Linked DNA regions of Nothobranchius furzeri. The protein of the gene in region 2 interacts with the protein of the main gene of each other region in a pairwise test. Links are inferred from orthologs where the notes say so. Each region holds a gene or a part of one and is shown on either strand. Other genes may lie near its edges.

Region 1 (10,975 bases), on a different chromosome or scaffold from region 2:
CACCACTATAAACACTAACCGATGCCCGGAGCTCCGGCCTTACAGCAGTAGTGCAGCAGGGTCATGTCGGTCAGGCCGTCCCGATCGTTCACACCGCAGCCTCTCCTCAGAATCTGTTCAACACAGGAAGTGTAGTGAGCCACAGAGGACCTGGTGTCAGCAGAGCGTGACACTAAAGCACATAACTCCACTCGCTTCTGATTTAGACAAGACGCTGACACCGGAAATTCTCAAAGGTGATCCAGGACAGGAAATAATTGCCGACTTAAACCCTGAGAGGACAGGTTCTCGGCACCTTTTACTGCATTGCAGGTGCATCAGATAGAAATAGTTTGTAAGCGTGTCGGCAGGGAATCCATCAAAAAACAAACATTCAGAGTTTTACTGTGAGGTGGCTTTTAAAGCAGCCTGGAGCTGCAGCAGCAGAGCAGTGGAAGGGTCACCTCCATGCCGATGACGTCTATGTTCTTCTGAACCTGGGGCACCCACTGCCTGAGGACGGCGAACAGCTCGGGGATGGTGGTGTTGGGATCCTGAAGGATCTCTTTGCACTGCGCCTCGCTGGGGTCAAAGAAGGAGAACTCTGGAGGTGATGAGAGGGACAACCACAGTTAGTTTGTTGTTCCAGAGCGCGTGAGTGAGACTCTGCACGGCAGCAGCCCGTTAATCCGTTCACCTTAAGAAAGACCCCCGCTGTCCTGCAGCAGCGGGGGCAACCACGTGTCGACAGACGGCCCACGGAGGCTGCTGCCACCAAAGCAGCAAAGCTAACAATAGAACTCAGCCGGATTTTCATTTCACACCAAATGAGGACTTTTAAATAATCTACATGCTTCACTGGAGCCTATGGCGAAAACAGCATCAACTCCTTCCGCAAGCATCACTCACACGTTTGAAGATGGAGGACTTTCTGCTGTTAGAACGACGACGTAAGCAGACATCTGCAACGACGTCCCAGAGTAAAATCTGAACGATTTAGAGGCTGTGAAGGATCACCTGGGGTCCTGGTTGGAAAATCAGTCAACAGCCAAAGGAGATCAACGCTGTGCAAAAGTCTTGAGTCGCTTTAGTTTTATTTTGACAAAAATCAAAAGTTCTGCAGAATTTTTTTAAATCCAACAGTTTTATCTGTTGTTGAACAAAGTGAGATTTGTTAGCGAAGCAGGAAAAATAAACACAAAAGTGTTGAGATCTCATCGATCTGTGGTGGAACGTCTGCTGCAGCCATCCGATTACTAAACACAACAAGATCCAAACACCCAGCATTCAGACAACACTTCAGTAAATGTTAGCATCTGTTGTCGTTTACCACATTCTGGTGTGTAAAAACAGAACTAGAACAGATTTCATAAGGTCCTGAAACCAGGAACATCACAGCTTTAGTGGCAGTTTGGATCCTCACCACAGTCATCGGGCATGGGTGCAGACGCCACCTGGTGGACGACGGCCCGCTGGTGCGGCGTGGGTCTGGTGCTGCAGCCCCGGACGGCGTCCCCTTCAACGGGCTCGGACGCTTCCTCCTTTGTCATCTCCCTCTCAGGGACAGAAGCTGGAAACAACATTAGAAAGTCTATTCTGGGAAGACAAGTAGGTCTGATTTCTTTATAAGAGCAGCTGAAGCACATCAGAGGTCTCTGAAGACAAGAGCTTCACTTTCTGAGAATAAATCTACATGTTCTAAGCTACAAGCTAATGTCAAAACATCAGATGGAAAATACCTATCTAACCCTAACACACACACACACACACACACACACACACACACACACACACACACACACAATTAGCTAACTGTCCTGCAGGCTGACACTCACTGCTTTCTTCTCCACCATCCTCCTTCTTGATGACCTCCATGAAAGCCTCCCGGCTGAAGCTTAGCTAAAATCAGGGGACACAGACCGGGTCCAGCAGATGAAGAACATCCAAACACAATCTCTTATAACACACCCTCTCTTTTCATTTACACCCTGTTGATCCCCCGGCTCCCAGGCTCAGAAGCCATTTACAGCCTGCACACTTTAAAGCTGTGGTGGTCTCACCTCTGACCTTCTCAGATAGAGTTTCACTCTCGCCGACCAGACACGGCACCGCCGACCCCGCCGCCAACAGATTAGCCCAACAGATGAGTCACGGCAGCGAGAAACTTGGCCGCGGGGTGATGGTGCAAATAAACACCGCAGGAGAGGGCAGCAGAGGGGTGGATGTGATTAGGACTGCCCTTTCAAAATAAAGGCCCGTCTAATTCCAATTTACACCCCACCCACTTCTACAGTCTTGTCTTTGCTCAGAACACAGAGGAGAGGAAATGGCCTCAGCAGGATGCAATTAACAACAAACATTTAAATGAACTAATTATCATTATTTGTACTTAATTATTGCTGCTGACAAGTGAATTAAAGTCCATGCATGAAAGGCAGGAGAAGCTCAGTGTGCACCTGATTTTATTATTTATTGGCCTACTGTACACCTCACTTTGCATCTCACTGTTTGATTTCTGCTTGTAGGATCTCCTGTAGCGTACTACTGCAGTCCAGGCAAGAATTAATTAGTATTATGATTATAGAAATAATAATTATTATAAGAATTACTTTTCTGTTGCCAGATCAGAGTTGGAAAGACAGAAATGTGTCGTTTGGGCTCTAAATTTAATTCAAGTTCAATTCAAGTTTATTTACATAAATCATGACAAGAGTCGTCTCGAGGACCTTCACACAGTAAACACTCCATTACAGGTCAGGGGTCTCATTTATCAAGCTTGCTTACGCACAAAACGGGGTCAGAAAACTGCGTAAGCAACTTTCCACGCAAACTTTGGGATTTATGAAAGAAAACTTAGCGGAAAAATGTGCGCAACTTTAAGTTGACTAAGGACCTGGCTTACGCTTCCTGGCTGCTGAGAAGGATAAAATGATGAAATCCTACAGCATTATCACTTGTACTGCTTCGTTTTCACACAGAACAAGACCCCCCACACGCACACTCACACACATGTGCACCTGCACACACACACACACACAGCCTGAAGCGCAGAATACGGAATGCTGAATATCAGCAGGAGGACAGGTTGAGACAGAATGTCATGCGTCTGTGACAGTGTGTGTCCTGTCACTGTGACCCGATTGATCATGCGCCCTGGCTACTTGTACAGGAGGGATCTCTGTTTGGCTGACTGGTTAACGCGTGTGACTTTCACCCGGGAGTCTGGGGATCAAATCCGGATTGGACCTTTTTTTTTTATATATCAGTTACAGATCTCTCTGAAGAACTCAGCATTGACGGCTTCAGCAACGCTGTGCCATTCCGTGGATTTTCTCTTATTTATTTTGCAAAAGCACTTCCTTTCATTTCTCCACCTCACCCACAGATACCTCAACTTCTGCTTGTGAAGTAGCGCTTCCTTGACCTGCGGTCGTGATTGAAATGCTGCAACAGCCGGCTTATGTATATGCATGAGATCCACAAGGCACTTTGCATTGTCTATTTAAGGCAGAAAGTGGGCGTGGTGAGGGCGGGATGTGACTAAAATGCAGCTGAGAAACATTCTCGTTAGTCTCTGATTTATGAAGCGGAGATTGCGTGCAGCTGTGCGTATTCCATGTATGATGGATCACAAACCTACTTGGCGTAAGTACATGTTTTAGCTGAGCTTAAGTACGGTTTTAGTACGGATTCTGCACAATTTTTGATAAATGAGACCACAGTTCATTAAGCCAAATCAAGAAAAAGTTTCCTGTATAAGGAACCCAGCAGGTTGCATCGAGTCACTGACTAGTGTCAGAGTCTTTACAGCAATCTTCATACTAAGCAAGCATGTAGCGACTGTGGAGAGGAAAACTCCTTTTTAACAGGAAGAAACCTCCAGAGGATCCTGGCTCAGTATAAGCAGCCATCCACTCGGCCGCGAACCTACCCAGCAAGAGCTGAAGGTCAGAGCTGGATGAAGCTAGGAGGACCACATCAACCGCAAAAAGCAGAGACGAGATTCTCCTGCCACCAAACTCGACACACTCCACACCACGGCTGCACCTAGAAATTCTGTCCATAAAGATAATGAACAGAATCCTTTAAATGTTTAAAACCTCAGATGAGCAAACTGCAAGTTTTCTTTTAAAAATAAATAAATAAACAAACAAACTCGGTTACCTAAATATCCTACAGCGCTTCTAATTTTCAAGCTAATTTTTGTAACATAATTACTGTAATACAGCAACACACTAATAAAACTGTCTTTTTGCCAAGTGCTGCACTGAGAGTGAAGAAAATGATGTTTTGAGTTCTGGAGTTTTTCATGCTTGAAGGATTTAGTTGAGAAGTTTGGTTTAGCAAACCCTCTGAAATGGTCAGGTACAGGTAGGTAAGTGGTGAAAAGGTATAAATAAGTGAATAATAAATAAAACCAGAACTTTGGAAGGTGAAGAGGACTGTTACTTGAAGGTAACAGGTAGGAAAGTGTGTTCAGGACTTTTACACAGTGCTGTGTGTACTCAGTACTATGGCTGCACTATATATAGTAAATAGTTAGAGCAGTATCAGTGTACACAATAGAAATACAAGACGCAGAACTTCTCATCTATTCTCTTTGAATAAAGTCTACTTTCCCTGGCTCATAAATGACTATATAATTTTATAAGTGTTATATAATCATATTTTGTTGAATAAACAATATGTTCAGATTCAAAGTGTTTTAATTCTGATTTGTTTAAATTTGTAAAGAGTAGCTAATAAAAATAGAGTTCACTTCATGAGCTAACGAGTTCACAGCCAGCTTACTCGGTTAGGCCGACCGGGTGAGCAAGCACTTGGGACCATCCTCTTTTGACCTCAAGGTGAAAGCTTTTCTGCAACGCTTGCGAGTGGTACCAGACACTACAGCTCCTCAGACGTGGAACGTCCAACTAGCAGACCCAAGCATCTCATGGCCGGTGATATCTGTATTCAAAGAGAGCTGCGACTCTGAGATTCCAGTAGCCACTGCATCCAGTGAGTGTCATCATCAATCTGGCTGCCTCTTCTCCTGACCACGGAGAGAGACCGTCCAAAACCGGTATTATATACCTGCACACTGGCGTCGGATGGTTTTTCATGAATAATCGATAGCTTATTAAACCATACAGTCATACTGATTTTAGAACCGTGACATCACAAGATCTCAGATACTTAAGGTTTTGCTACAAACACCTAACTTACGTTCCATCACTTAATTCATTGTCTGTTTCTACAACCATCATGTCATTCATAATTTGTCATGTTTAATCACTAGTTTAGGAAGATAGTTTATTAAAATGAATTTAATTCCATTTCCTCGACTGTCTGAAATAATATGGTGTGTGTTTCCCTGAATAGTCCAAACCTAAGTTAATATTATATTAAAAAATTCAAAGACCAAGCAGATTGATAATTCATAATATTTATATGGAGCATCACATCTTATTGATCATTTGATAAATGAAGCAACAATCCACCATACTGCAATTAAGTGTTTTGATAATAAAAAACAAACTTGAGTAAAAATTATAGCTTTATCTCAAGTTACAAATACAGTCAGAATATGTATTATTAAAACACATATTTTGTTTACTTCAGCTAAGAAATATCTACAGTCTGCAAATCTTGGAGTGTAAAGCTGAATTAGAAAAGATTGTTCACATTTTGGACTTTAAAAAGTTTGTGCTGTGAGGTGATGCTGCATCTGTGATATTTTAGAAGTCCGCTCCCCTTCTCTCATCTAGCTAAAGGCTTGCTTTGTTCTAATGAATTGTTGGATTTGTATAATTACTATAACCTGTGAGGCGTTTTGGTCAGCTCACATGCAGTTTTTAAATGTGCTCGATAAATAAACTGGTATGGTGGAAGAGACATCATCTAGAGCGGTATCTCTCTTGTTGTGAAGCACTTTGTGGTTTTTATCCTGTGAAAAGTGCTACACAAATTACTTACTTGTATGGTTTATCTAATATTGTGCAGTACTAAGCAGCAGCTTTTATATCTTCGTTAGGGTTAAGTTTAATTTGTGTGACATTTAGGAATGAAAGCCAGCATTACACCAAGGTCACGTGTTTGCTGCCTTGAGATTAGGACTTTGCAGTGACAATGACCTCCTTTTTCACTAAGCTTTCTGTGGCTGTCTCCTGTTCTCACTCAGTCTCAAACACTTGGCTAAACATGGCAGCTGTATGTTTACCACTGTAGCGATGCTACATGTGGATGCAGTCAGCTGTCCCTTTTCCTGAATAGTTCAACTGTATCAAAACCGAAGAGAAGACAGGAAGATGGAAAGTGGTCCAAATGTTCTCAGTTAGCCCACTAGCTAGCACAGCTCGTTATTTTAAGTCGCTCACGTGCTACATGCTGAGACAGACCCAATCAACGTAAACGAGAGCACCTGCGTGCATCCCGTTACTCTGCAGCCAAACATTACCTGTTGAAGCTACACAACTTGTTAGCATCGTTAGGTGATGGTGGACTTGGACTTTCTAGTATTAAAGGCTACCTGATGTTGGTTAACAAAACAGAAGCTGTGCCTCTTATTTCACCAAACTACGTCTCTGACAGCACAAATAACCACATAGCTATTTTAAAGCCCAAAAGGAAATGTTAATGTACATCAGTTAGCCAGTTAGCGTATGATCAAAAGTTGTGGGTTAAGCTGAGGTTAAGCACCAGTTAGACCACTATTTAACCAACTGCACCAGGTAGTATCCGGTATCTAACAACAGTTAAGACCAACAGTATTTCGAAAATCAAGCACTTTGTAGAAGTTGTTTCCACACTCACGTTAGCTCCTTAAATTAATGTTGGTTGGACCAACAAGCATCTCTACAAGCACTGACCGGATGTAGAGAAAATATTTTTTTCATTTAAGAGTAAAAAAGGTTTCGAAAACACGCGCACACATTACCTACAGCTCACAGCTCGTCTAAAATCATTGGTAGCTGGTTAAGCTAGTAGCGGATTTTTACTCCAGCAATCCTACCGTTTCCGGTCTCAACCTTCAGAGCAAAAGCCGCTAACACCCACTTCCGACCTTCGCAACAAAAGCAAATTAAGTCGTTGAATATTTTGGTAAATTTTGTTAAAATAAAGTTTTAATTAAATATATTCATATTATACGTGAGATGTATAGCTTCATTTTTATCCAAATTAATCCATAAAACAATGATGGATGGGTTTTTTTGTGTGTCGAAATAGATTAAATGCTAAAAACCCAGATTATTCATGATGGGATAAACAATATCTTTATTCAACTCAAAATTAAATTAAAATACTTCATGATTGTGAGCTTGAGTATCACAATTCACTAATAAAGAGCAGGAAGACCTTCAAAATTCCAATAAACTTGTTTTCATTTGGAATTAAGAATTTCTGCTAGCAGTTTCCGTGCTAACGTAAACACGTTAGAAACGGGTGATTACTTGTTTATGCTAGTTATTACTTGATCTCGCTTCGTTCTGCTGCCCCGGAAATGAAAATGGAAGGAGGAGCGTCGGAACCGGAGTCCCAAACGGAGAATCCCCGCTGTGTGCATCCTTCGAAGGACCCAGCCTACTCGGCCGACGTAAACATGTGGCAGATGCGCGCAGACCGGAAATGGTGAGTTTATAAAGTCCCTGAAAAAAGATGAAAAACGTTTTTATTCTCTCAGGAATAAATCCGAATGTGGTCCACAGGGAGAAGAAGTGGGGATTTCTCAGGACACTGGACTTCACAGTAAGGAATGAATCGTCGACATACATATATGGACAATGGGTTTCCATAGGCTCCAATAACATATTTTTGAAGATAAATGGGAGGTGGCCACCACCGCCATTTTGACCGTGTCACAGGTTCCGTCAAGCCCAGACAATTCCACAAAAGGGAAGAGAGGTGGAGCTGAGGGTGGGGCTGTAAGGCTGGGATCAACTGGACACCCGGTCGAACTAGCTACAAGCTAACCTGAAGCTAACCCAAAGCTAATGCGGAGGTGGGAGCTAAGCTAACGGAGGTAGCAACCTAGCTACAACCGGAGTTAACTGTGCACAACACCAGAGCATCTGAGTCAGAGATACGCCGGGCTGACCGCTGGGTAAAACCGGGTGGAACACAGAGGTCTCCGAGAGCTCCACAAGCTGGCAGCCGCACAGCAGACAAGGGCCGCTGCGGTCTGAGATGTGCAGAGCTGCTGCTGGGGAGAACCGGGTGGAAAGGTTTCTATCCCAGAGCACCACAAGCCGGTAGCCGCACAGCAGACAAGCGCCGCTGCGGTCTGAGATGTGCAGAGCTTCCGCTGTGGAGAACTGGATGGAAAGGTTTCCATCCCAGAGCTCCACAAGGCGGCAGCCCACGCAGCACACAGAAGCCGCGACCTGCGGGGAGGAGAGAACCGGGTGGAAAACAGAGGTCTCCCGAGAGCTCCACAAGCCGATAGTCGGAACCCAGCTCCACCAACATGTTATATTTCAACCCATTTTCTAAAATGCAGCATTGTGTAAAATGGGTTTTACCCTATTACATTTAAATTTCACGGTTAAACAGTACATGTTAAAATCTAAGCTCAGCTGGGCAGTGACCTAAAATACATAAATATAATTTTACTTACCGAAAAAAATGAAGTGGAGACTCCTTGGACGCTCTATTAGTGCAATTAATGCCACAGCAAGTCATTTTGTCCAACAATTGCACAAATAATATCCAAAACAGAATACACAAACACAGAGACTCAAAATCCCGGAACAGTTTCCAGGCCAGACCGAGGCTCTACTGAGGCCTTTCCACGGAGCTAGCTCTGTGGTCACGTGGGTCTGATGCTCATTAATTATACAGAATTTTAGGCTTTTAATACACTTAAACAGAAGAGTGAGAAAAAATTCACCCCCCTCAGAGTTGTCATGAGTGTAAACTAGATCATTTAAACCAAAAACATGTTTTGGTACCAGGCTGTAAACATGTTTATTTCTGCTGTGAAATTGGTATTTTTAACATGGGAGTCAATGAGGATTTGCTCGCTTCCGACACCAGCCCCCAGCGGATGAGGGTGGAACTGCAAGTTTTGGTACTTCCGGGTTGAGACCAATTTCTGAGCTGCATTGTGGGGGCTTGGAATGAATGAAGGAAGGAATATTTTATTTGGGACAGTGCATGTTAATGAAACATACATGTAGGGATAGTATGAATGTAAACACGCCAGATTGTGGCCTAGGGCTAATTTCCATCTGTAGTCCTGAGATGGTTGTCACATTAAAGTCCAGTGACGTTAACAAAGAGTTTGTTGACAAGGAAATAAATAAATTTAAAAAAGCCGTCAATAAGACACAAATATGAGATTCTGGGTTCTCTGACATTCAGAAAGTGGTCCAGGGATACTAAAAAGTGGTCCAATGGCATCATTTAAGTGAGCAGTGATAAATACTGAGGGATACAGTACGGTAGTAGGCCCATCGGTGAGGATAGCATAGTTCACATTTTTAGCATGCATTATTACAGATTTTGTGTAAGGAGTACACACTATTAGCATACAGGAATTGCATTTGTAGTGACAATATCTTGGTTTCATGATTATGTTTTTGCACCGTGGTTACATAGCTGATTTGACCAGAGCCATTTTTTGGTTTCCGATTTGAATGTGGCGAAGGTGGAACATTTTCCAATGGATTGGGGGAGGCTGTTCCACTGGTGGTCACCCTGTACTGAGAAGACTTTCTGCCCAAATGTTGTTTTTCTGTAGGGGATCACTAAGTCCCCGCGTGATGATGTGCGGGTGGCTCTTTTTGAGGTGCCATTGTATCTAATAAAGTCGCTTAGCGGAGGTGGAGCGAGAGAGTGTAGTACCTTGTATGTTAGACACAAGTTTTTGAGTTTGATTAGATTGTCTAAGCTGAGGAGTTTATGCTTTTTCAACACGTGGCAGTGGTGGTGAGCCTTGGGTTTTTTATCAAGCAGCTTTAGGCTTCTTTTTTATTGTGTTATGACCGGTTTTAGTGTAGTTGGGGAGTTGAGCGACCAAGTTGTCAGGCTGTATTCTAAGTGGGAGCTGATCATCGCGTGAAAATAGATCTTGGCAGTCTTTGTGTCTAGATTGTTCCTGATGTGGTTAAAGTTTTCATTATTGAACTTGAGCAGAAATGCATTTGATTTTTGTTGATTTAAGCGTTTTCCTTTCAAAATTACATTTGATTTTTGTTGTTTTAAACAACGTTTTGTGAAGTACATGCATACAGTTTTGGAGGTGTTTAGTAGGAGACAAGATTCATTTAACCAGTCGTAGATTAATGATGGAGCTACTGTTAGGTCATTACCAGCCTGTTCGATGTTGTTAGCTTGCAGGTATATGATGACATCGTCCGCATACATTTGTGTGTAGACATTTTTGCAGACGTCAGGTAGGTTGTTGATGGAGAGAGAATAATATTGGTCCAAGAACCGATCCTTGGGGAACGCCGGTCTCAAAGTCAAATTCAGTTCAAATTCAAAAATACTTTATTAATCCCAGAGGGAAATTAGAGTTTCAGTACACACAATTCTGAGATCAGACATACATACATGCATACATAGACACTTGACAAGAATTGGTGACTGTGGTGATTCGCAACCCGAGTCGCGCTACCGTAACAGATCAAGAGGGTTTATATGAGGATAGAGTCAGGGGGAGGGAAAAAAGGCACTTCACAGTTACCCTCAACAGAGAGGGTGGCTTTCCTATGCAAAAAAACACCTCAGACAGATATGCACACAGACTTCAGACATTACACAACATAAGTGCCCGCTAGGTGGGGAGGTAGGGTTGGGACTCTCCTCACTTCAGTGCGTGTAGCCGCATGGAGCAGCGCTCATCACCTCCATTTGGATAGGGGAGGGAGATAATGGGTTAGAGGGCACATTGACTCCTAGATACAGTTCCACGGCCTTCACCGGTCAGTCCCGCCCAGGCTGGGATAGGGGGAAAGAGTTTCCATAGCGACGGCAGCATTCCAAATTTCTTCTGAGGGGGGTGTTTTCACTT
Region 2 (10,802 bases):
AAGACTTGGATTAGTTCCAGAGGTGTGACCAAGTCACTGCTTTGCAAGTCACAAGTAAGTCACAAGTCTTTCCAGTCAAGTCTCGAGTCAAGTCCAAGTCAAAGAAAACCAAGTCCAAGTCAAATCCAAAGTCAATGATTTGGAAGTCCAAGTCAAGTCCAAGTCCTGAACTTTGAATTTTCAAGTCATAATCAAGTCATCTGTCCAATTTCAATGATGATAAATACATTCCAGTGATAAAGCTTCTTAAAGCTTAATTTGTTTGTTCAAACAAGCAGAAAGTGCAACTGAGCTTGATTATAAACAAAGTGCTACTGCATTTAGCAGCACAAGATAAAACCCAGAACGAAGAATGATTCATGAGTTTTGTCCATGTTGTGCCACTTTTGTGCTAAAATATCAAATATGCTCAAGTCATCATCAAGTTAACAGGTGCAAGTTGATTCAAGTTGTAAGTCATTGGCGTTCAAGTCCTAGTCAAGTCGTAAGTCTTTATAGATTTTATCAAGTCAAGTCAGAAGTCATTAAAATAATGACTCGAGTCTTACTCGAGTCCAAGTCATGTGACTCAAGTCCACACCTCTGGTTATTGCTCATTTTGTGTCAAAACGAATAATAGTGATGATTTTACTACAAAATTATCAGTTCAGTTAATTTGATAACTTTTTAAGATAGGTCTTTATTGGTTGCCTCACTTTGGGATGGCTGTCAGGCAGATTAAGGAGTCTTTGAAGAGATTTTGTTTTACGACTAGTTTGGGAAGTCTAGTGTCAAGGAAGCTGAAGCGACGGTGGTCTGGGGTCTCTGCACAGCCTTTGCCCTGCGACCTGGTCTTGGGCAAGTAATAAAAAAGATGGATAGATTTATTGCTTTTTTTCTTTCACTCGTTTTCTGTACTGGCTTTGTCTTACACTGGGTTGTGACGTGGCTGGAAGCTCACTCAGCCGTCAGAGTTGTGTCACATCCTGAACGGATCACAGGGTCAATAAAGAGACAAACAACAACAAACAACCTCTGACTCACTCACAAATTAAATTTAGCAGTGGCAAGTAATCTAGCATGAACAGGTCAGAGCCAAGAGCTGACTCAGACACCTTGTTGATGAGAGACAACAATTCTAGCCACAACTACACAAAGTTTTCTGTGTATTTAAGTTTTACTTCAAACTAAGCAAATGCCAAAAGCATAGGTGAGTTTTATTGGAACAAAATACAAGCTACCATACACTTTAACTCTCAGGCTTCATTAGGGACAGTTTTGTCCTCTAATGACTCAAGAGTATAGTAAATCAAAGTAAAGCCTGCACACAGGACCACTGCAGCACTTTGTGGTGATGCTGCTGCTATAATAAACAATTGTGCTGGATCAGATTCATTAAACCAATTTAACTGTTTTTGAGACAGAATAGTTTAAATGATTAATACAAATAAAAATGCGAGACAAAACGACAAGTGTTTTAAACTGGTGTGTTGATAGCAATTTGAAACATTTTTCTGAAGTGCCTTTTTTTCCCTCCACTGACTCAATCCTCATATATAAACCCCTCTGATCTCTATTAAGGTAGCACAACTCGGGTTGCGAATGACCACAGTCACCAATTCTTGTCGTGTTTTCTATCCCTGTATGTATGTCTGATCTCAGAATTGTGTGTACTGAAACTCTATTCCTCTGGGATTAAAAAATTGAATTGAATTGAATTAAAACAGAAAATACTTTTGTTCTGTTTTACTTTGTAATTTCAAATGTGATACATTGTGTCACGTTATACTAGATGATAAAAATAGTTACTCATTTAAGTAAAATATTTGCTGAAAATGGTCAAAGTCTAGCAACAGCTTATTAATTTTACTTCACTGCAAAACATTTCAGTAGATTCAATTCAGACAACACTGTAATTTGTAATGCTAAACTATTTATTAGAATTGTACCACAAGTCATGACATGTTTGCCCAAAACAAACAAAAGAACAACAAAGAAAAAAAAGTTCTAAAAATGATCACAGCCTTTGAAGAGGAGTGGACCAACATTCCACAGGCCACAATTGACAATCTGATAAACTTTATGTGAAGAAGATGTGTTGCACTGCATGAGGCAAATGGTGAGCACACCAGATACTGACCGGTTCTGAGTCCCCAGACCCCAAATAAAGCAAAAAACTGCATATTCCAGGGTGACCTTTTATTGTGGGCAGTACAGGGAGTGTAGAATTATTAGGCAAATGAGTATTTTGTCCACATCATCCTCTTCATGCATGCTGTCTTAATCCAAGCTGTATAGGCTCGAAAGCCTACTACCAATTAAGCGTATTAGGTGATGTGCATCTCTGTAATGAGAAGGGGTGTGGTCTAATGACATCAACACCCTATATCAGGTGTGCATAATTATTAGGCAACTTCCTTTCCTTTGGAAAAATGGGTCAAAAGAAGGTCTTGACAGGATCAGAAAAGTCAAAAATAGAGAGATATCTTGCAGAGGGATGCAGCAGTCTTAAAATTGCTAAGCTTCTGAAGTGTGATCATCAAACAATCAAGCGTTTCATTCAAAATAGTCAACAGGGTCGCAAGAAGCGTGTGGACAAACCAAGGCGCAAAATAACTGCCCATGAACTGAGAAAAGTCAAGCGTGCAGCTGCCAAGGTGCCACTTGCCACCAGTTTGGCCGTATTTCAGAGCTGCAACATCACTGGAGTGCCCAAAAGCACAAGGTGTGCAATACTCAGAGACATGGCCAAGGTAAGAAAGGCTGAAAGACGACCACCACTGAGCAAGACACACAAGCTGAAACGTCAAGACTGGGCCAAGAAATACCCCAAGACTGATTTTTCTAAGGTTTTATGGACTGATGAAATGAGAGTGAATCTTGATGGGCCAGATGGATGGGCCCGTGGCTGGATTGGTGAAGGGCAGAGAGTTCCAGTCCGACTCAGACGCCAGCAAGGTGGAGGTGGAGTACTGGTTTGGGCTGGTATCATCAAAGTTGAGCTTGTGGGGCCTTTTCGGGTTGAGGATGGAGTCAAGCTCAACTCCCAGTCCTACTGCCAGTTTCTGGAAGACACCTTCTTCAAGCAGTGGTACAGGAAGAAGTCTGCATCCTTCAAGAAAAACATGATTTTCATGCAGGACAATGCTCCATCACACGCGTCCAAGTACTCCACAGCGTAGCTGGCAAGAAAGGGTATAAAAGAAGAAAAACTAATGACATGGCCTTCTTGTTCACCTGATTTGAACCCCAATGCGAACCTGTGGTCCATCATCAAATGTGAGATTTACAAGGAGGGAAAACAGTACACCTCTCTGAACAGTGTCTGGGAGGCTGTGGTTGCTGCTGCACGCAATGTTGATGGTGAACAGATCAAAACACTGACAGAATCCATGGATGGCAGGCTTTCGAGTGTCCTTGCAAAGAAAGGTGGCTACATTGGTCGCTGATTTGTTTTTGAATGTCAGAAATGTATATTTGTGAATGTGGAGATGTTATATTGGTTTCACTGGTAAAAATAAATAAATGAAATGGGTATATATTTGTTTTTGTTAAGTTGCCAAATAATTATGCACAGTAATAGTCACCTGCACACACAGATATCCCCCTAAAATAGCTAAAACTAAAAACAAACTAAAAACTACTTCCAAAAACATTCAGCTTTGATATTAATGAGTTGTTTGGGTTCATTGAGAACACGGTTGTTCAATAATAAAATTATTCCTCAAAAATACAACTTGCCTAATAATTCTGCACTCCCTGTATAAGGTACACCTGTGCACTACTCATGATGTCAGATAAGCATCTTGATGTGGCACACCTGTGAGGTGGGATGGATTATCTCAGCAAAACACAGCTGCTCACTATCACACATTTAGACTGATTTGTGAACAATGTTTGAGAGAAATGGTAATATTGTATATCTGGAATGAATGTTAGATCTTTAAGTCCATCTCGTGAAAAATCGGAGCAGAAACAAAGGTGTTGCGTTTATATTTTTTTTGAGTGTATATATATATATATATATATATATATATATATATATACATATACATATACACACACACACACACATATATATATATATATATATATATATATATATATATATATATATATATATATATATGTGTGTGTGTGTGTGTGTATGTGTATACATTTTTTAAATTCCCATTTCACTCTCCACGGGTGGTCTCATCCTTCCAAGCTCAGGTCCTCTACCAGAGGCCTCGGAGCTTGAGGGTTCTGTGTAGTATCTTAGCTGTTCTTAGAGCTGCACTTTTCTGGACTGAGATGTCTCATGCTGTTCCTGTGATCTGCTATAGCCACTCCTCCAGTTTGGGGGTTACTGCCCCGATGACTACGGGCACCATAGATCTCTCTCTCTCTCTCTCTCTCTCTCTCTCTCTCTCTCTCTCTCTCTCTCTCTCTCTCTCTCTCTCTCTCTCTTCTCTCATATATATATATATATATATATATATATATATATATATATATATATACACACACTGTTTTTAAGTAGTTATATTAAGCGCTATATAAAACATATGTTTATTATTATTAGTATTATTATTATTTTACATATTGTTTTTATTTTCCTATTCATGTGTTCATGTGGAGTAGGTATAAGGAAGTGTCATGTGATGTATCTGTACACATGATCTCTGCAGCACTTTGTGGTGATGTTATTGCTATAATAAACAATTGTGCTGGATCAGATTCATTAAACCAATTTACCGTAAATCCTCTAATATTAGCCTGTATTTAATTAACTGCCAGTATCATATTTTGGCCGGTGTCGGAGTCGGCGGACGTGAATAATGGCTGTTTTTTTATTGTGGCTGGGTGGAATGTGGTAACAAGCAAGTACAGGGGGCGGTTGTGTCATCCGTCTCACTTTTGATTTGCCAGTGATAGACCGCGAGGGTAACTTTAACCGTGCGGAGACAAAGAGGAGGCAAAAATTTGATTTCAAGTTCAAAGAGAACGTGCTGATTATGCTGCAGAACACTCTGGGGAGCAGTAGCAGGGGTTGTATGAACTAGTCGACTTCACCGCTCTATAGTGACTTTTTATGCCTGTCATCGACTAGTCGCTGTCACGTGATAATGACCGGCAAGATGCAGTCCATGGAAAAGACAGCAGCCTGCTGTCAGCAGGTGACAAGCTCCTGCGCGTCGGGAGGCAACGCGCTGTGACAGAGCGTCAGTACTGACACCCACCGTAAAACGGACATTTAACCAAATTGTGACGTTTACCCTCTTGCGATTTAATCTTCCCCTCACCCCCATCCTAACCTTAACCAGCTTGCGCATGCAAAGCTCTGATTGTTGACGCGCTCCAGACATCTGTGTCCTGAGCACGGCCACAGTAACATTATCAAATCAGGTGTCGCCACCTCAAAAACTAATTTAACATGCGATTGTTCATGTCGGCTCATTTCCTTTTATGTTTTCTGTCTTTTATTCTTTTATTTGTGCCTGATGCGTTTCGCTGCTGTGGATCGGGGCGCATCACCTGTTTTGTCCTCGGTGATGCACCTAACTGATGTGGCTGGCGAGCAGCGCGCACTCCGCTGTTTTTGCGGTCCGTAGATCTTTTAGAACTGCAGTTCAAAGGTAACTCATAAGGTGAATAAATATGAACCCAGGTAGCAGTTTTTCTTTAGGATTGAGAGGAGATGCAGGAAGATAATAAACAGATACAGGACAGAAAAATAGTCAAATAAAAACAAGTTAGATTTGTACCTGGTGGTTGCAACAAACAGACACCATTGAAGGTAATCAGAAGTGAGGAACAGAAAATGAAATAATTATTTTAATGTTTAGAGCAGCAGGAACTCCGAGAGGCTGCAGGCGCATCAGTGAGTTTGCGGCCGCTGCGCAGGGGGAGGGGGGAGAGGGCTGAAGCAGAAACTACCGTTGTTAAAAGAAATGTGTTTAACTTTGAAAATGTGGGCACAATTTTAATTGTCAAAAACTCCAGCGAACCATTAGTTCATTTTGCTCAAATAGAAATTGAGCCCTGCCTCTAATTCTGGCCCTCCTTCCAATAAAGGCCTGGAGCTTGATGAGCTTGAGTCAAATATAGGCCCGGGCCTGTATTAGAGGATTTACGGTAACTATTTTTGAGACAGAATAGTTTAAATGATTCATACAAATAAAAATGCGAGACAAAACGACAAGTGTTTCAAACTGGTGTGTTGATAGCAATTTGAAATATTTTTCTTTTTCTGATGAAAACTAGACACATCTTCTAGGTTTTAAAAACATGATCCAAAGAATAACTGAATGAACATAATCTAGTAGATATATACTGACATCTAGTGGCCATTACCTGTAGTTACAAACCACCCTCATAAACACGTTCACAAAAAATGTTCAGGAAGCATTTTTCACCTCTGAGGGTCTCTTCCTCAGCTTAGTTTACCAGTTCAACCAAGTTAAACGGCATTCACTTTAATATGCAGTGAGTTGTATACTATTTTTGCCATCTGTTGGTAATAATATGCATAATTGACGCATCATGCGTTAAACACGTGTCCAGCACCAGCCAATCAGACAGAACAAACGGAGCTTTGCATCGTAATTTACGCCGTCTGCGTAGGAGGAGTCGTCAACGTCAACACTGCAGTTCTTCACTAGCAGCTACTGTAGCTGGCTGGCTGCACACCCAAAGTAATCTAAGCAAGCACCGGAGAAAAGGTAAGGATACGTAGCAGAAATGCCTACAAGGAAACGTTAAAAATGAACATTTTGTTTAAGTCATGGATGCATAATTAGCCCCGTGATTGAATGAAAATACATTCATTTGTCGCGTTGCGTTTAAGTACCACCATGACAACAACTGCTGTGATGTGAAGAGGCCTCGTTTTTATTCGCTCTTTGCATAAACTGCAAAATGTATTAGTGTTTAACAACAAAATAGTGGGAACGTTATTTAAGCCTGCCCAGTTGGTGCGTGACTAAATCACGTCGTTTATCGGTTAGATTTCAGAGAGCCTTACATTATTCGTTATTTAGCTTCACTTCACAGCAATATTTCATCTCAAACCAGACTCCAGATGCGACTTGTTTTCAGTTTATTTCCTTTTTATCGCTGAGTTTATCCTTTATTTACACCGTGACTTATTAGCTACCTGTGCTAATATCAATCATGAAAGTGCTAGCATAGCAACGTTAGATCTTGGCTGTGGTAAAATGATGAAATTTATTTAATATATCCATCAGCCTCAGCTCATACAAAACCAAAAGGTTTAACTATAAATACTGAATCATTAATCTTGATTAGTCGGCTGGCGTTCAGTTATTAAACTACCATTGATAGGACTTGTGGCTTTTAGCTTTATGTACATAAACTCATTGGAATCTTCCTTTTACAGAAACAACAGCCAATATTTGCTAAGTTTTTGTATGTACTACTTCTGATGTGAAATATGTATCATTTTAATTAGTTTTTACTCAAGTAACATCATCAAAGTAAGCTTTTCATTATAGATGTTGTGCTATGCGGTAATAATTTGTTAGTTTTATACAACACTCAGCTGTGAGGCATGGCAAATGTGGGACTAGGGCTGCTTGTTTATGGAAAAATAATAATAATAATTGCATCAAGTTTATTCAGGTAAATATTCCATCACGTTAGTTATCTACCAGTTTAATGGAAAAACACTCAAAATATCATGAATGTTGACTCATTTTTAATAAAAATCGATGTTTAAAAAATGTTTAATTTATTAAGGAACTTAAAAATCTGCCTGTAAATAATTAAAAATAAATTATTTCCCTTTTCTGAAGTGTCTCACATGGGAGTAAAGAAAGTCTTTTCTTTGGTTAAGTAGAAACTTTTTGCATATGAACTTTTACGTAAGTAAACTTTAGTTGTATTTACTAGGTTTGGCTGATTGATGATGTTCAGGAATTCGTTTTATCTGCTGTTTCGTAGTTTACATATTTAGTCGTTGGAAGTCCCCGAGGGTGCAACACAGTTAATTTGCTTATAATGTTGTTTTTAAATTTTTTGTTCAAAATAGTCTTTTTGAACCCCTGGCTGTCTTCTGCTGAAAAGTTGTCATACGAAAGTGAGCTAGCATAAGTGCTTTCTGCGTTGATGAGGCTCAACTTTCCAACGCTTACGTTTTCTTGCGTTTTCAATCAATTAAGTTCCAATAAAACTTACTTCAAAGTTGTTTTCTAAATTCATAAACATTGTTTATAGGTTTCATAGATATTGACAAAATATGCAAGTTTCAGCATTCCTTCTACAATTTTGTCTGCATTTTTCACATGAAGGATCTCAACATGAGCATGCTTGCAAAACATTGTGTCAAATAATTGTACTAGTTGTTTATGTCAACTAAATCATTTTGCGATTATTCAGATCCCAAATTACACATTCAATACATTGCATAGAAATGCATTATAATTTGTGTCATATAGTTCTTTTCCTTCCAGATTCAGTTTTTCTCAGTGCTTTAAATTTTTAATAATTCCACAATGAAAATGTAAAAGGTCTACATTTTCATCTAAGTCTAAGACAGACTTGTTTCTATTTTACAGGGCTCTATAAATGAAACACAATGATTATTCTTGCATTGTTTCCTGCATTTGTTAGTTGTGAACTATTTTACATTTGCATTTACATCTCCCCTCCTGTTTTCTTTCCATTCTCTCCACTCAAGGAAAAGGCCATAATGGCAGCGTCGTGCTCCCAACTGGACCCAGATCTAATGAGGGAGGTTCTTGAATGCCCCATCTGCCTGGAGACCTACAATCAGGACCACCTGAGACCTAAACTTTTGCAGTGCGGCCACACAGTGTGTCGACTATGTCTCGAGAAACTCTTGGCTAATACTATTAATGGCGTTCGCTGCCCCTTCTGCAGCAAAGTCTCACGGATGAGCAGCATCTCTCAGCTGGCAGATAATCTAACTGTGCTAAAAATTATAGATTGCACTTTGTCCTGCAGTGCTGCTGCTGCTGCACTAATGTGCAAGTCCTGCTGCAACCGTCTACCAAGACAGTACTGCCACGACTGTTCTACCGTTCTCTGTGAAGTGTGTAAAGGTGAGGGCCACCTGCATGAAGGTCATTCAGTTCAGCCAATTAAGGTGGCTGCTGAGCAGCGTCGTAAAGAACTGGGCGGGAAGCTGGCTGCTCTCCGGGATGTCATGGGTGAAATTCAAAAGAAGAAGACGGCGATTGAAAATATTTCTAAGACCTTGAGACAAAAATATCGGGCAGTTCAGCTGGAGTACAACGCGGCTGAGCAACATCTTCAAGGGGAGCTCAGCAGATCTCGGAGGCTGTTCACAGCCTCGTTGGGAGAAGTGGAAAAACTCAATGCGCAGGTCCTGGAGGAACAAACGTATCTTCTCAACCTCGCAGAAGTAAAAGTGGTGTCACGCTGTGATTATCTGACTGTGCAAGTAAGGCAGAGTGATGTCGCCCTGCTCAAAGATGATGGTGCAGGAAGTGACGATGAAGAGCTAGACCTGAGGGGCAGTTTATCCACACAGTTTCAGCTTCAAGAGCCGGCGCTGGTGAGAATAGAGCAATCAAAACCTCTAGAAGTGGGGCATTTAACCACAAACACTTGCGTCATTAATACAGAGGAAGACAATGGAGGTGCAGAGACTGTATTTGAGAGTGTATCTGGGCCAGGAGGTGCCACAGGAGGTGCTGTAAAGGTTCCGGTGGATCTTTACAGGGATGTCGACATGGTCTCTGCAGTAGAGGAGACGGTATGTGGTTCACCAGGCAGCTTTAAGTCCAAGTCCATGGATGAAGGAGGAGGATCAACTGCTGGAGCAAGTTCAGGACCACCAGTGTGCCAATTTGTAAAGAAGATGGGCTGTAAGGGAGCTCTACCTGGGATGTTTAATTTACCAGTGAGCATCTGTGTGACGCCACAAGGTGATGTACTAGTGGCTGATCGTGGAAATTGCCGTGTCCAGATTTTTAATCGCAAAGGTATCCCACGTGAAATCCGACGTAATGCCAGCATTGACAACTTTGTCCTGAGCTTCTTTGGGGCTGACCTGCCAAATCTAAACCCCTTATCAATTGCTGTGACACCACAAGGCCTGATTGGTGTCACTGACAACTATGATAACTCTGTAAAAGTCTACACAATGGATGGCCACTATGTAGCTAGCCACAAAAACCAACTGATCAAACCATGGGGGATTACTGCCATGCCGTCAGGTCAGTTTGTGGTGTCAGATGTGGAAGGGGGCAAGCTGTGGTGCCTCGCTGTGGACCGCAACGTAGGCGTAGTCAGCTACAACCGATTGTGCTCTGCTGTGCGGCCAAAGTTTGTGACGTGTGACACAGCAGGAACGGTATATTTCACCCAGGGCTTGGCCCTGAACTTTGAGAAGCGGCAGAATGAACCCCACCTGGAGGGTGGCTTCTCCATCAGTTCAGTGGGCACCAATGGCCAGCTTGGCAAACAACTCAGCCATTTCTTCTCAGAGACCGAGGACTTCCGCTGTATCACTGGCATGTGTGTGGATGCCAACGGGGACTTGCTGGTTACAGACAGTGGTAGAAAAGAAATCCTGCAGTTTCCCAAAGAAGGTGGATTTAATATTCTGATCCGAGAAGGGCTGAACTGCCCTGTGGGGGTTGCCACTACCCAGAAAGGGCAGCTGTTAGTACTAGATTGCTGGGACCACTGTGTTAAAGTCTATACATACATTCAAAAGAGGCATTCTTCCACTTAAAAGATGAACTGAACAAGTTCAGTAGGTTTGGTCAGAATTGACCTTTGAGAAAGGAAGCTTTAGTGTAGATTAAATCCAAACAATTGCCTCCCTGGCT
Region 3 (11,059 bases), about 6.1 Mb from region 2:
TAAATAATGTCCATGAAATACGTGTGTGGAATAACCAGGTAGGTAGGTTTTAACATTGCTAATCTGCAACGCCTGCCTCCAGAGGGTTAATTGTGAAGTCACTTGATATGTGGTACATTTTCTGATTATTAAAGATTTCATAGTTTAAAAGAACAATATCTAGGCCACTAACTGGGTTTTTATCTTCATCAATATAATATTTTATAAAACCCACTGCATTTTTTTATTCTTTTTCTTTTCCCACCTTCTAGGTAAAAAAAAAAGTGGTTCCAATGGAAGCGTGCATCAAAACGACCGCCTTGGTCATGTGATGTGTGGTATTGCATTGTGAGTTATGGTGGTGTAATTAGCTAAAAACCACACCATAGGAAATCATTGAAAAACCTGCCAAATCCTCATTGCATTTTGTGTTGTTTGTCTGCTGACTTTGTAGTTGACCTTTGACCTTGAACCTTTATTTACACTTTAAAGGTACAATAACCCAACTAGCATAAATAGGTGGGCCCCATATGGATATGTATGGGCAAGCCAAACGGTTGCCCACAGGTTTTGTCCTCGGTCTCTTTGGTGAGTCCACAGGGGTTTGCCCACAAACTTTTGCCAACATAGGTTTTAACAGGCCCTACATGGGTTTTCAGAGGGACCTAGATGGTTTGACTCATACAAGGGCCTATTCAAATCATTGTGGGCAACACCCTGTGAGGCTACAATAGAAAACCACAGATAAACCCTATTGGCACTCATAAGGCGTACCCGTATATATCCACATGGGGCCACCTATGTAGGCTGGCTGGAAAGTAAAACTTTTACAGTGAATTAATCACAGAACACGCTAAAGTCTCAATCATGTTAGAAGGAAGGTTACACTGAAGCAGATTTCATTATCATCCAGCAGATTGGATGCCAGGCTTTCTTCTTTCTAAAAAAGCTGAAGAGGGATGTAGTCACTGTTAGCTAACACTGCTGCACCAGCATTTGTAATTCGACCACCAGCTGACAAAAAACTTCAGAGTTGTGGACAGTATGTTAGTCAGTAACAGGAGCGACCCAGAAGCTATTTCTTGTACCCCTAAGGAGCAATGGCATCTTTTTGTTTTACTCTAGCAGGCTAGAGGCTATCGTTGAGCTAACATTGCTAATGGGGAATTAGAAGCAAATAGTCAGCTCTAAAAATATCTCAATCTACTTTTTTAATTAACGAAAACTTGATATTACAGGGAAACGTGTTTACCAACTAACTGTGTACCAATCAATCAATCAGATTTTATTTATAAAGTGCTTTTCAAGCAAAGTGTTTTACAAAATGACCCCAAATTCTCATAACAGCATAAAAACATACACACACACAGACATACAGACACACACACACACACGCACACACACACACACACACACACACGCACAGACATACAGACACACACACACACACCCGCACACACACACACACACGCACGCACACACACACACACACACACACACACACGCACGCACACACACACACACACACACACACACACGCACACACACACACACACACGCACACACACACACACACACACACGCACACACGCACACACACACACGCACACACGCACGCACGCACACACACACACACGCACGCACACAGAAACACACACACACACACACATACACACACACACACACACACACACACACACACACAGACATACAGACACACACACACACACATACACACGCACACACGCACGCACGCACACGCACACACACACACGCACACACACACACACACACACACGCAACACACACACACACACACACACACACACACACACACACACACACATCAGTAAAAATTTATATTCGGCTGAGTCCAGATGAGCCAAGTAAGGTAAGGCAAGGAAACGCCATCAGAGGGGCCGTCTGCCCCGACAGCATCCAATTCAATTCAATTCAATTCAATTCAAAAATACTTTATTAATCCCAGAGGGAAATCGATTGCTGTAGTAGCTCAGAATAATAATAATAATCAAGTCATCAAAGAGTTATTGTATATTACAATGGTTGTAAGTAAGTAAGTAAGTAAAGTTTATTTATATAGCGCCTTTCACAGATATAAATCACAAAGTGCTGTACAACATGAGTAAAATCAGGGCAAATACGTCAAACCAAAAAATACATCATAAAAACAATAGCAGTGACAACAATAGTAACCAAAATCAGGAGTAAAAACAAAGTCAAGGTGTGAACAAGAACAAAGCCATCTTTTAGAATATTTAGCGGGGGAAAGCCTGGATGAAAAGGTGAGTTTTAAGATGTTTTTTGAAGACCTCTACAGATTTCAAGAGACAGAGATTTGAAGACAGACTGTTCCAAAGTCTGGGGGCAATAGACTGAAAGGCCCTGTCCCCTTTGGTTTTTAGTCTGGTTCGAGGAACAGCCAGGAGGTTTTCAGATGTGGATCTGAGGTTCCGTGAAGTGGTGTGTGGGGATAAAAACTCAGATAAATAGCTTGGAGCCTGGTTGAGCTCTATAGGTCAGGACTAAAACTTTAAACTGTAACTTGTTGCCAGGAAGGATCTCCAGTTGCAGTCAGTGTTGCAGCGGAACTGAAGAAGCCTCTGACTGAAGACACTCTTCCGTTGTCGGACAGTCTTGTGAAGAGAATGCTCAGGGTTGTCCATAATTTTCTTGATTCTCTGGAGAATCTTTCTTTGCATTATCTCCTCCAGAGGTTCCGAAACTGCCGAAACTCTGTTTGAGTCCTTGAAAGGGCTTGGAGTTCCTCCATCTTGTTGGCCAGTGATCTCACATTGCCCATTATGAACGATGGAAGAGATAGTTTGAATTTCCTTTTCTCTGCCTCCGTTTTGCTCCCGCTCTGCACCCATGCATCTTGCGTTTTAGCTCATTTGGGATTTGTGGCTTCATTTGAGGTATTATTTCAGCCTTTCCAATGTTAATCAGCTGCTCTCGATTGTAAACAGCTTATTGCCATGGTTACGCATCATAACAAATGCTCAAAAAGTGAAAAAAGCTAAAAAAATAGCAGTAAAAATCCTCCAAGCTACAGCACCAGAAACAGAAAAGAAAGTGTCCAAAAAAATACAGTTTTTCTTGAGAAACTAGAAGAAAAAATGCCCAAGAAAAGGCAAAACTTACATATACGAATGCTTATTTGAGCAAATAAATGAAGCTTTATGAAGCTTTATTTCTGGAATTTATTAATTATCATTGTCATTAAATTGAAGTTTGACAGATGACTTGATTATGTCATGAAAATTCAAAGACCATTTAACTTGGACTTGTCTTGGACTTCCACATCACTGACTTTGGACTCGACTTGGACTTGCTTGTCTTTGACTTGAGACTTGACTGAAAAGACTTGCAACTTACTTGTGACTTGCAAAGCAGTGACTTGGTCACACCTCTGTAAGACAGTTTGATTATTATTCGTCACTTTATCATTTCAGGTGCAGACATAAATAACGAAGGCTGCCACACAACTGCAAATACAAAAACTTTTTGCAGGAGTAACCTGTATTTTTATATTTCTGCATTTTAATTTATTTACAATAATTACTTTTATTACCCTGTCTAATTTTCTTTTCATTCTTGTGATGCCCTCAAGTTAGAAATTCAACTATATAAAGATAAAAATCCTAACGATACCACTGTTGTATTTAATAAAGCCGAAGGAACTGAACAGCCCCTGACTTGTCTGGTATAATAGCGCCGCCTGCAGGCCAAACGGTGAATACAGAAACTAAACTCGTTGATTTTTTTCATAGACAGTAAAACATGTTGTAGATTCCAACATCACAAAATATTGCTATTTTGATATAAATAAAGTTAGATACGTAAAATAAATGCATTACCTCTATGCATGATCGACGGACGGCGCCATCTTGGAAGATACCAATGGCTAAATAGGGACTACATATCTGGCGAGAGCCACTCCCGAAATGGCATTGTTTTCCCTCTATTGTGGAATTTGTATATGTTCAAGCATTTGTGAAAGAAGTAGAATTTATTTTAGCCCTCATAAGCTCTCTCTTATAAGCGCCTCGTGATTTACTTTCTTCTTCTTCTAAACGACACCCCCTTTTTTCTGATCACCGTGGTACAGTCGGCCAGTGTCATGGCGCTGCTAGGGAGACTGGCTGGAAAATGTTGTCGGTCTTTACTGTCTGAGCCCTCTAAAGGTCTTTTCTGTGGTGTTTTACAGCCGGTTTGGATTAAGAGCTGCGTTGGAGGTAAGAAATGACGTTAGCAAGTGTCCAGTTTGATCTAATTATCGTTATAATAAGGCGTTCATGTACAAAAATGAGAAGCAAACTAACAACAGTCCTCACGTCAGTGAAGTTCACAAACTAAATATGGGACTGCTTGTAGATTAAAATAATTTAAGATAGGCGTTGACGTGTTTTATTTTGAAATACCTATGTTGACATTTCTGTCTTGCTTGCTTGTAAAGGTCATTTGGTAAAGTAAAGAAGAGTCCGCCTTAAATCGTTTCACATCAAAACAATAGACGTTTTTGAAGTTTGATTTCAAGTTTTGGCATAAACTTGGAAGTGATTTGTTTAAAAATATGAATAAATGTATGTATTTCATTATCAGTGATGGATTATTCCACATTTCTCTCCTGCTTGTAGCCAAGAGACATTTATTGTCTGAAGATGTTGTAAAACTACAAGGTTTCCAGCAAAGTAAGCTGGCTGTGGCCCATCTTTTGACAGGATCAGAAGGTAACAAACCATAAATCCAAGAGCTGAGGATATATGTGATATTATCTTACATCTTTACCTGCATTCCACAGGAAATTACATCGATCTGTTCAAGCAAAAGATGCAAAGAAATGAGCTGATTCTCCGAGATGAGCTGAAGCTGCTCCTTCACTTGTGTCAGACTCCAGAGGAAATGCTGATAGCCAGGGATGCTATCTACAGGTGTTGTGTTGTCACAGAAACAAACTAGGGGAAGCCTTCTTCTCGTCAGGCTCCTGAAATATCTGATTCTTTGATTTACCTTGAAAGGTATAATGCAGAGAACCGTAACTTGTTGTATGGGGATTTCAAGTTTGGCCCTGTCTTCATGAGACTTTGCTACGAGATGGGTCTGGAGGAAATGGCTGCTGCAACAATAACAGATAATGTAAGAATAATAAGAAGTTTGACAAATGGCTGTAAATTATGTGTAAAACAGGAAATATTTTTTACATTTTTTTTGCAGGACATGAAAGGATTTTTCATTGACACGACATCCTTCAACATTGCCGCTGACATGTTGTTTATTAAAGGTTCTTATGAAAGTACGTGGCAGATACATTTGGCACTTTTAACTGTTACAATTGCACGTACATAACTTTTTATATTGTTCGCAGGTGCTATGGAAGTACTAAGAACCATGAGGGACCAACGTGTTCCATTTAACAAAGACACAGTGACGCTGGTGACTGCTATCTGCTATAAGCTGGTAATGCTTTCAAATATTTAATCCAAATTCTTTTAAATAAACTTCTGAAGATGTGAGCTCTTCTATAGTTTATGGTTTTAGGCTTTTGCACCTTGTGTTGTTTTCTTAGAACACTACAGAGTCCTACAAGATCTGCACTGGTCTGATAGAAGAGGAACAAACCAAAGGGCACTTCATCCCCCGACATGCATACTGCTTCGCTGTGGCATTAGCTCTAAGAAGGGTCAGCTGAATCTTTTATGCATGTATTATTTTTTTCTTTTAATTCTTTTAATACAACATATTTTTGTATTTCCCCCCAGAATGACCTACAAAAAGCTCAGTCACTATATTTACAAATTATGAGCTCCAAGGGCAAAATTTGCCAAAATTTTAAGGTAAAATGCAGATTTAAAGGAACCATTGTCAATATTTTCTTCACCTTTTTATGTATGTACTGTTTTTGTCTTTTAGGTTGTAATTCTAACAATGTCAGGAGAAGTCACAGAAGCAGTTTCGTTCCTCTCGGCAGCCATGTTACCTAAAAGCCCAACTTTTGTGAAGAAAATGGAGTTTTCTCAAGAGGTGGTAGGTAAAAAGGTTGATCTTGTTCACGTCTTTAGCTACAAGCAGTGGTGCACCCAGAACATTTTCACATGACCAAATTGGTCCCTGTGGAAACTGTGGGAATGTTTAGCCTGTAGTGGTGTATTGCAGTCCTCCTTTATTATTTTTCATTAAAAAACAAAAGGCCTATGCGTCTGTAGCGGAGGCAAATCGACGATTTTATCTGTTATGACCATGAAGATGTAATATTCTATATAAATATAAAATATTAACCTGCGAGGTCTTTATTGTAATTAATCAGAAGATTCTAGGATTTATTTCAGAAGAAGGTTCTTTTCTTTTTCAGTGATCAACCACACTTCGTGTTACTTCAAGAAAGAGTCAGGTTTATAAAAGTAAGAATTTATTTTTGTTAACAATTTAAAACATGACTAATTAAGGTTGGTTTATGCTTGACGCGTCCGCACGGCTCCGCGCAGCAAAATTGCGTCATTTTAACAACCACGCCCCTCCACCGTGCCTCCGCACGGCCCAAAATTTCCGCAACGCGCACCTAGGAAAATTTCTAACCACGCGGACGGTCCGACGTGGAAAAACATGGCGGACCGGCAAGAACTAGTATGGCAGAGGTTCGTAAATACAGACATTTGTATGATTCAGCTCTCAGAGATCACCGTGATCAACATGTTGTTAATAATTCTTGAAGAGAAATGGCTCGCACTGTCGGAAAAGACGAGAACGCTGTTAAAAATGCTGAAATGCCGTGTTGTAAACAGTAATTTCTACTTCTACTATGGTGTAGTGTTGGATGCATGCCGTAGAGCTCCATGCTGCCCCCTACAGTTTGGGAGAATATTGGCTCACCGCAGAGACGAGCCGCACGAACCATAAACGCTGCAAGTTGTGAAGCGCGTTCCATCCGCGAGCCGCATCACCAAGCGGAAAGTGAATGCGTCAAGCATAAACCAAGCTTTAGTTAACTATTATTTACTGTGAATGGATGGAGCCAAAGGTAAGGTCTGGAACCTATGTGTGGATGTGATATCAGCCAGAGCTTTCTTATCAAAATGAGCTGAGTTCTGGATGTAAAAGAATTTGGTCTGCGTTAAACTATGAAGTTGTTATCGTCAGAAGCACATTCAGGCGCAATCTCTCTGTGCTCTACCTCACCCTGTGATGTCATGGTGGTCTTTTCTGGAGGAAGAGTGGGGAGCCCAATAATTTTTCCAGTGGTGGTTATGGCCCCTTCTGGCCACCTCTTGAGGGTGCCACTGCCTACAAGTAACTTAAATGCAGGGAATGCTCCCATAAGCAGTGTTAGCTTGGTTCTGTAATCCGGTCAGTGGAAAATCACATCAAGTTTGAGAAACATCCAGATTGTTTCATAATCATTCAGAACAAAATGATAATCGACTCCGTGACTTCTCATCGCTGCTTCAGGTGGATTTGCTTCGTTTGCGGAGCGACGGCAGGCCAATTAAAGGGAAAGTAGACGAGATCGTAACTCAGCTGGAAAGAGGCGGTCAAGTGACTCAGCAAACCCTTGATGAGATGCTGTGTCATGCCCCCACTGGGAAGAGGAAACCGGCGCTGTTGGAGGAGGTGAGCAGGAAAAGCCGAAGGACTCTGAGACCTCTTCAGTTCACTTTGTTATCAGAGTGAGTCCTGGACCAAGTCAGAATCGGCCGACCTGTATGTTCATCGTGAGCTGATACGGACCGTCAGGGCTCTTCTTGTTGCCTCATTTCTATTATCAGTGTTCTAGATTCACTTCTGAAGCAAGCACAAAGATGTAGAGGAGAAAAACGCACTAGAATGACCATTTTATTTTCCTTCTACATGATAAAACTTCCACACCCTTTACAACAGAGTATCAGCTGTAACTAACTTATATCTAAGCTGCCCTTAAAGAAATCTGACTAAGTTCACACTTGTGTCATTTAAAGTTGTTGGCAGGTACTTTATTTAAATTGCATATGTAAATCTAAGGTAGCATATAGTCTTGAGTGGTGTTGGTAATCTGCAGATACATTATCAACCTGAACACCCACAGTCTGCAGGCATGTCTTTGGACTCGTGGCTTTCCTGACACAACTAAAAATGGTCCCTGGAAGAAGAGAAACATCATGTTAGATGTGCTTGCTGATAAATGTCAGGAGTCCTTTTCTGAAACTGTGTTTGAACAGACTCTGGGAGTGTAAATGAGAGATGTGTGAGACGACGTATGAAAGGTTTAGTAATAAAAACAAAAGAAAAAGAATAAAGGAATGCTTTTGTTTATTTCATGTTGTGCACTCAATTTGAAGTCATTATCTTAAAGATCTATTTAGTTTTTCAAAGAGAGAAGAGGGATATTTATTTATACAAAAATTAATGAAATTGAGTCCAAGTTTAGGTTTTTTGATGTTTTCAAATCTTAAACCTTATTTTTTTATCTTCCACATTTAATTCACTTTCTTTTGTTGCACAAATGTTTAATGCAGCTATCTGGAGGACATTAAGTTTATAGGTGCACCTTAAACAACCAAGTAAATATTTTATTTTGGATATTTTTCTATTTCTCATTCTGAAACACATAACTCAGTGATTTCTGAAAGTCCTGTATGAGGTATGTTGGGCAGTGGGTAGATATCCTTTAATACAAATAGCTGTTATTTAACTTTTAAGAATATTATGAATGTGGTTTTATAATTACCGGTATAGCATTGTGCTTTGTGTACAGTTTCTAAACAAGTGAGCATTTTGACCACATCTTTTTTATGCATATATCCAACCCCATACTGTGGATGCTATTTAAGTATATTTCTTTCCTTTTGAAATATAAGTTGCTTTTATTTCTAAATTTCAAGATATTATTCCCAGTTTAACTAAATTTCATTTTACATTTAGTTGTGTGATGATTACACACACACACACACACACACTTGTCTTGTATTTGTTGTGAGGACCGTCGTCCATTCATTCTACTGACTGGATTGTGCCTAACCATACCCAGTCTATTCCTAACCCTAACCTTAACTTAAACTTAGGCCCTGTCCACACGTAGCCGGGGATCTGCCAAAACGTAGATATTTTCCTACGTTTTGGCCTGTCATCCACACGAAAACTGAGTTTTTTCACACGAAAACGGATCTTTTTAAAAACTCCGGCCAAAGTGAAGATCTGCGTTTTCTCCGTTTTGGGTGTCTGCGTGTGGACAGACACAAAACCGGAGTTTTAAGGTCCGCAACGTCACTTTCCGCGACACAAAAATGCTGACATCACGTGTGCGACATGTGTTTACACTATCCGGCATCACGGAAGCCTTCAGAGCTGCGCTCTGTCACTACCCGATCCATCAATTGTCCAAGCGCTTTCTGCTTGTTTGTTTTTGCAAGCGGAATTACTGCTCCTTGCGGAAGACCACAGACGAAGGATGAGGTTAAGAACGGGGGAAGTACTGCCGCCTACAGGTCTGGCATGTCCTTAACGTATTTATCTGGGTACGTGTGGACAGTTTGTTTTTAAAACGCGGTGGTGTGGATGCAAGTTTTTGGAGGGGCGGATATTCGTTTTTAAAAAAACCCGGCTACGTGTGGACTAGGCCTTAATTCACACCATACCTGAAACTGATGAATAAAGCTATGTAACACTAACCAAAGTGATAGCCAGGGAAAATGTCCTCAGTTTGCAGGTAAAAAGCTTGTCATTGGTCCTCACTTTGATACATAGACAAATACACACACACGCACGTGTTCATCTGTGATTTTTTTACACACAATTCCTTTGTAAAAATAAATCTGATTTGTTGTTAGAGACTAACAATTGTTCACAAAATCTATCAATATTGGGAAGTTTTCATCCCATTCTCTTATCTAAGAAAACAAAAGATCACCCCATTCCTTTAACCCTCCCACTGTCTTTATGGGTGACCCCGCGAGGAAAGTTGACCACTGAGCACACCCATCATCAGGACAGTGGGAGGGTTAAGGGTTAAACATACTTTACAGCATTCATGTAAACAAATATGACGCACATCAAGTGCCTCCCACAATGCACCGCGCCCGTCGGGCAGAGCAGAGCTACGTCCCTGAAGAACAACTAAACCGCTCATTTCTACCGGACCAGACTTGTGTTAACTTGTTGAAATAGTTAGGAAGCGCACTAAAGTTCTTTATTTCAGTTTAAGAGACCGAATGAGAGTCGAGGATACGTGATATCCACTCCTAGCGGCAGCTGGTGGCGATGCTTCTGACCATCAGCTAGCCGCTTAGCTAGTCGCCAGTGACGGGAGAAGCTGCTGGTGACACCCGGCATCAGACACGAAAACAAAGGGAGGAAGAAAGTAGACTGAAGAAAAACGGGTATTTGTGAAATTGGGTTTTGTGTAGCTTTAGGAAACGCAACACAATGAGCACCGAAGAGACAGCAGCCCCCAACAAAGCCGCTACTCCTGAAGATGATGGCATGACTTGGTGGTATAGATGGCTCTGCAAGATAGCCGGCGTTTTGGGAGGAATATGTAAGTAGATGAGCAATCCCACACAAGCCAAACCTTTAGCTACACGTAGTTTAATTATTTTCTGACACGTGTGAGAAATCTTTGTCATTTTCTCTCGACTTTACGTTAATTGTGAGGCTGAGAGCAGACTGATCTGACTGCAGCAGCCTCTGTGGGCTTGCTTACTCATCATTAGCTGTTTATTCTTAAATAAAGTGATCATGAACTCAACCGTCTGAGAAAACAGCCAGCTCCGTCTGAGAGTGAGATAGATGTGATTAAATGCTTGAGCTGCAGCCTTTCCAGCAGCATTGCAGCTCAGTGACACCAGAGTCCCTGTATCACATTAACCACTGCATATTCAATGGCTCCTGTATTATTGAGGAGGCTGTATGGTTTAAAGGAGCAGGATCTGCTGTGTGAGGGATAATAGAGGACTGCTCATGTCATGTTTAAGCTGATGTCAGATCCATAAACACAATAAAGATCTTTTTTCTTTTGTGTTTAGATAGATGACTCCCTTTTAGCTGCACAGTGTGACAAGGCTACAACTGGGTAGTGGTTGTATTTTATCTA

The links.
Region 1: the proteins of trim32 (region 2) and CAP-Gly domain-containing linker protein 4 interact in binary tests that used the Homo sapiens proteins (3 or more experiments, as listed by UniProt). The two-hybrid records come from large-scale screens. The link is inferred for Nothobranchius furzeri from reciprocal best matches to the Homo sapiens genes TRIM32 and CLIP4.
Region 3: the proteins of trim32 (region 2) and ptcd2 interact in binary tests that used the Homo sapiens proteins (3 or more experiments, as listed by UniProt). The two-hybrid records come from large-scale screens. The link is inferred for Nothobranchius furzeri from reciprocal best matches to the Homo sapiens genes TRIM32 and PTCD2.

Annotation. Positions count from the first base shown.
Region 1 is NC_091758.1:40,950,228-40,961,202, reverse strand, and holds the start of CAP-Gly domain-containing linker protein 4, read right to left. Parts: upstream 6,957-10,975; 5' UTR 6,775-6,956; intron 6,769-6,774; exon of another isoform or gene 1,879-6,768; 5' UTR 1,855-1,878; coding exon 1,815-1,854; intron 1,550-1,814; coding exon 1,403-1,549; intron 584-1,402; coding exon 444-583; intron 114-443; coding exon 20-113; intron 1-19. Other genes in the region: cimip5 (uncharacterized protein C2orf50 homolog), read left to right, coding at 7,463-7,590, 7,668-7,707.
Region 2 is NC_091746.1:55,647,705-55,658,506, forward strand, and holds the start of trim32 (E3 ubiquitin-protein ligase TRIM32), read left to right. Parts: upstream 1-5,733; 5' UTR 5,734-6,683; intron 6,684-8,659; 5' UTR 8,660-8,671; coding exon 8,672-10,705; 3' UTR 10,706-10,802. UniProt on the Homo sapiens protein: E3 ubiquitin ligase that plays a role in various biological processes including neural stem cell differentiation, innate immunity, inflammatory resonse and autophagy.
Region 3 is NC_091746.1:61,740,412-61,751,470, forward strand, and holds ptcd2 (pentatricopeptide repeat-containing protein 2, mitochondrial), read left to right. Parts: upstream 1-4,103; 5' UTR 4,104-4,120; coding exon 4,121-4,235; intron 4,236-4,637; coding exon 4,638-4,730; intron 4,731-4,801; coding exon 4,802-4,931; intron 4,932-5,018; coding exon 5,019-5,136; intron 5,137-5,214; coding exon 5,215-5,293; intron 5,294-5,365; coding exon 5,366-5,457; intron 5,458-5,566; coding exon 5,567-5,680; intron 5,681-5,759; coding exon 5,760-5,834; intron 5,835-5,910; coding exon 5,911-6,024; coding exon of another isoform or gene 6,025-6,028; intron 6,029-6,349; coding exon of another isoform or gene 6,350-6,352; exon of another isoform or gene 6,353-6,398; intron 6,399-7,443; coding exon 7,444-7,665; 3' UTR 7,666-8,283; downstream 8,284-11,059. Other genes in the region: cacfd1 (calcium channel flower homolog), read left to right, coding at 9,277-9,485, 10,374-10,504. UniProt on the Homo sapiens protein: Involved in mitochondrial RNA maturation and mitochondrial respiratory chain function.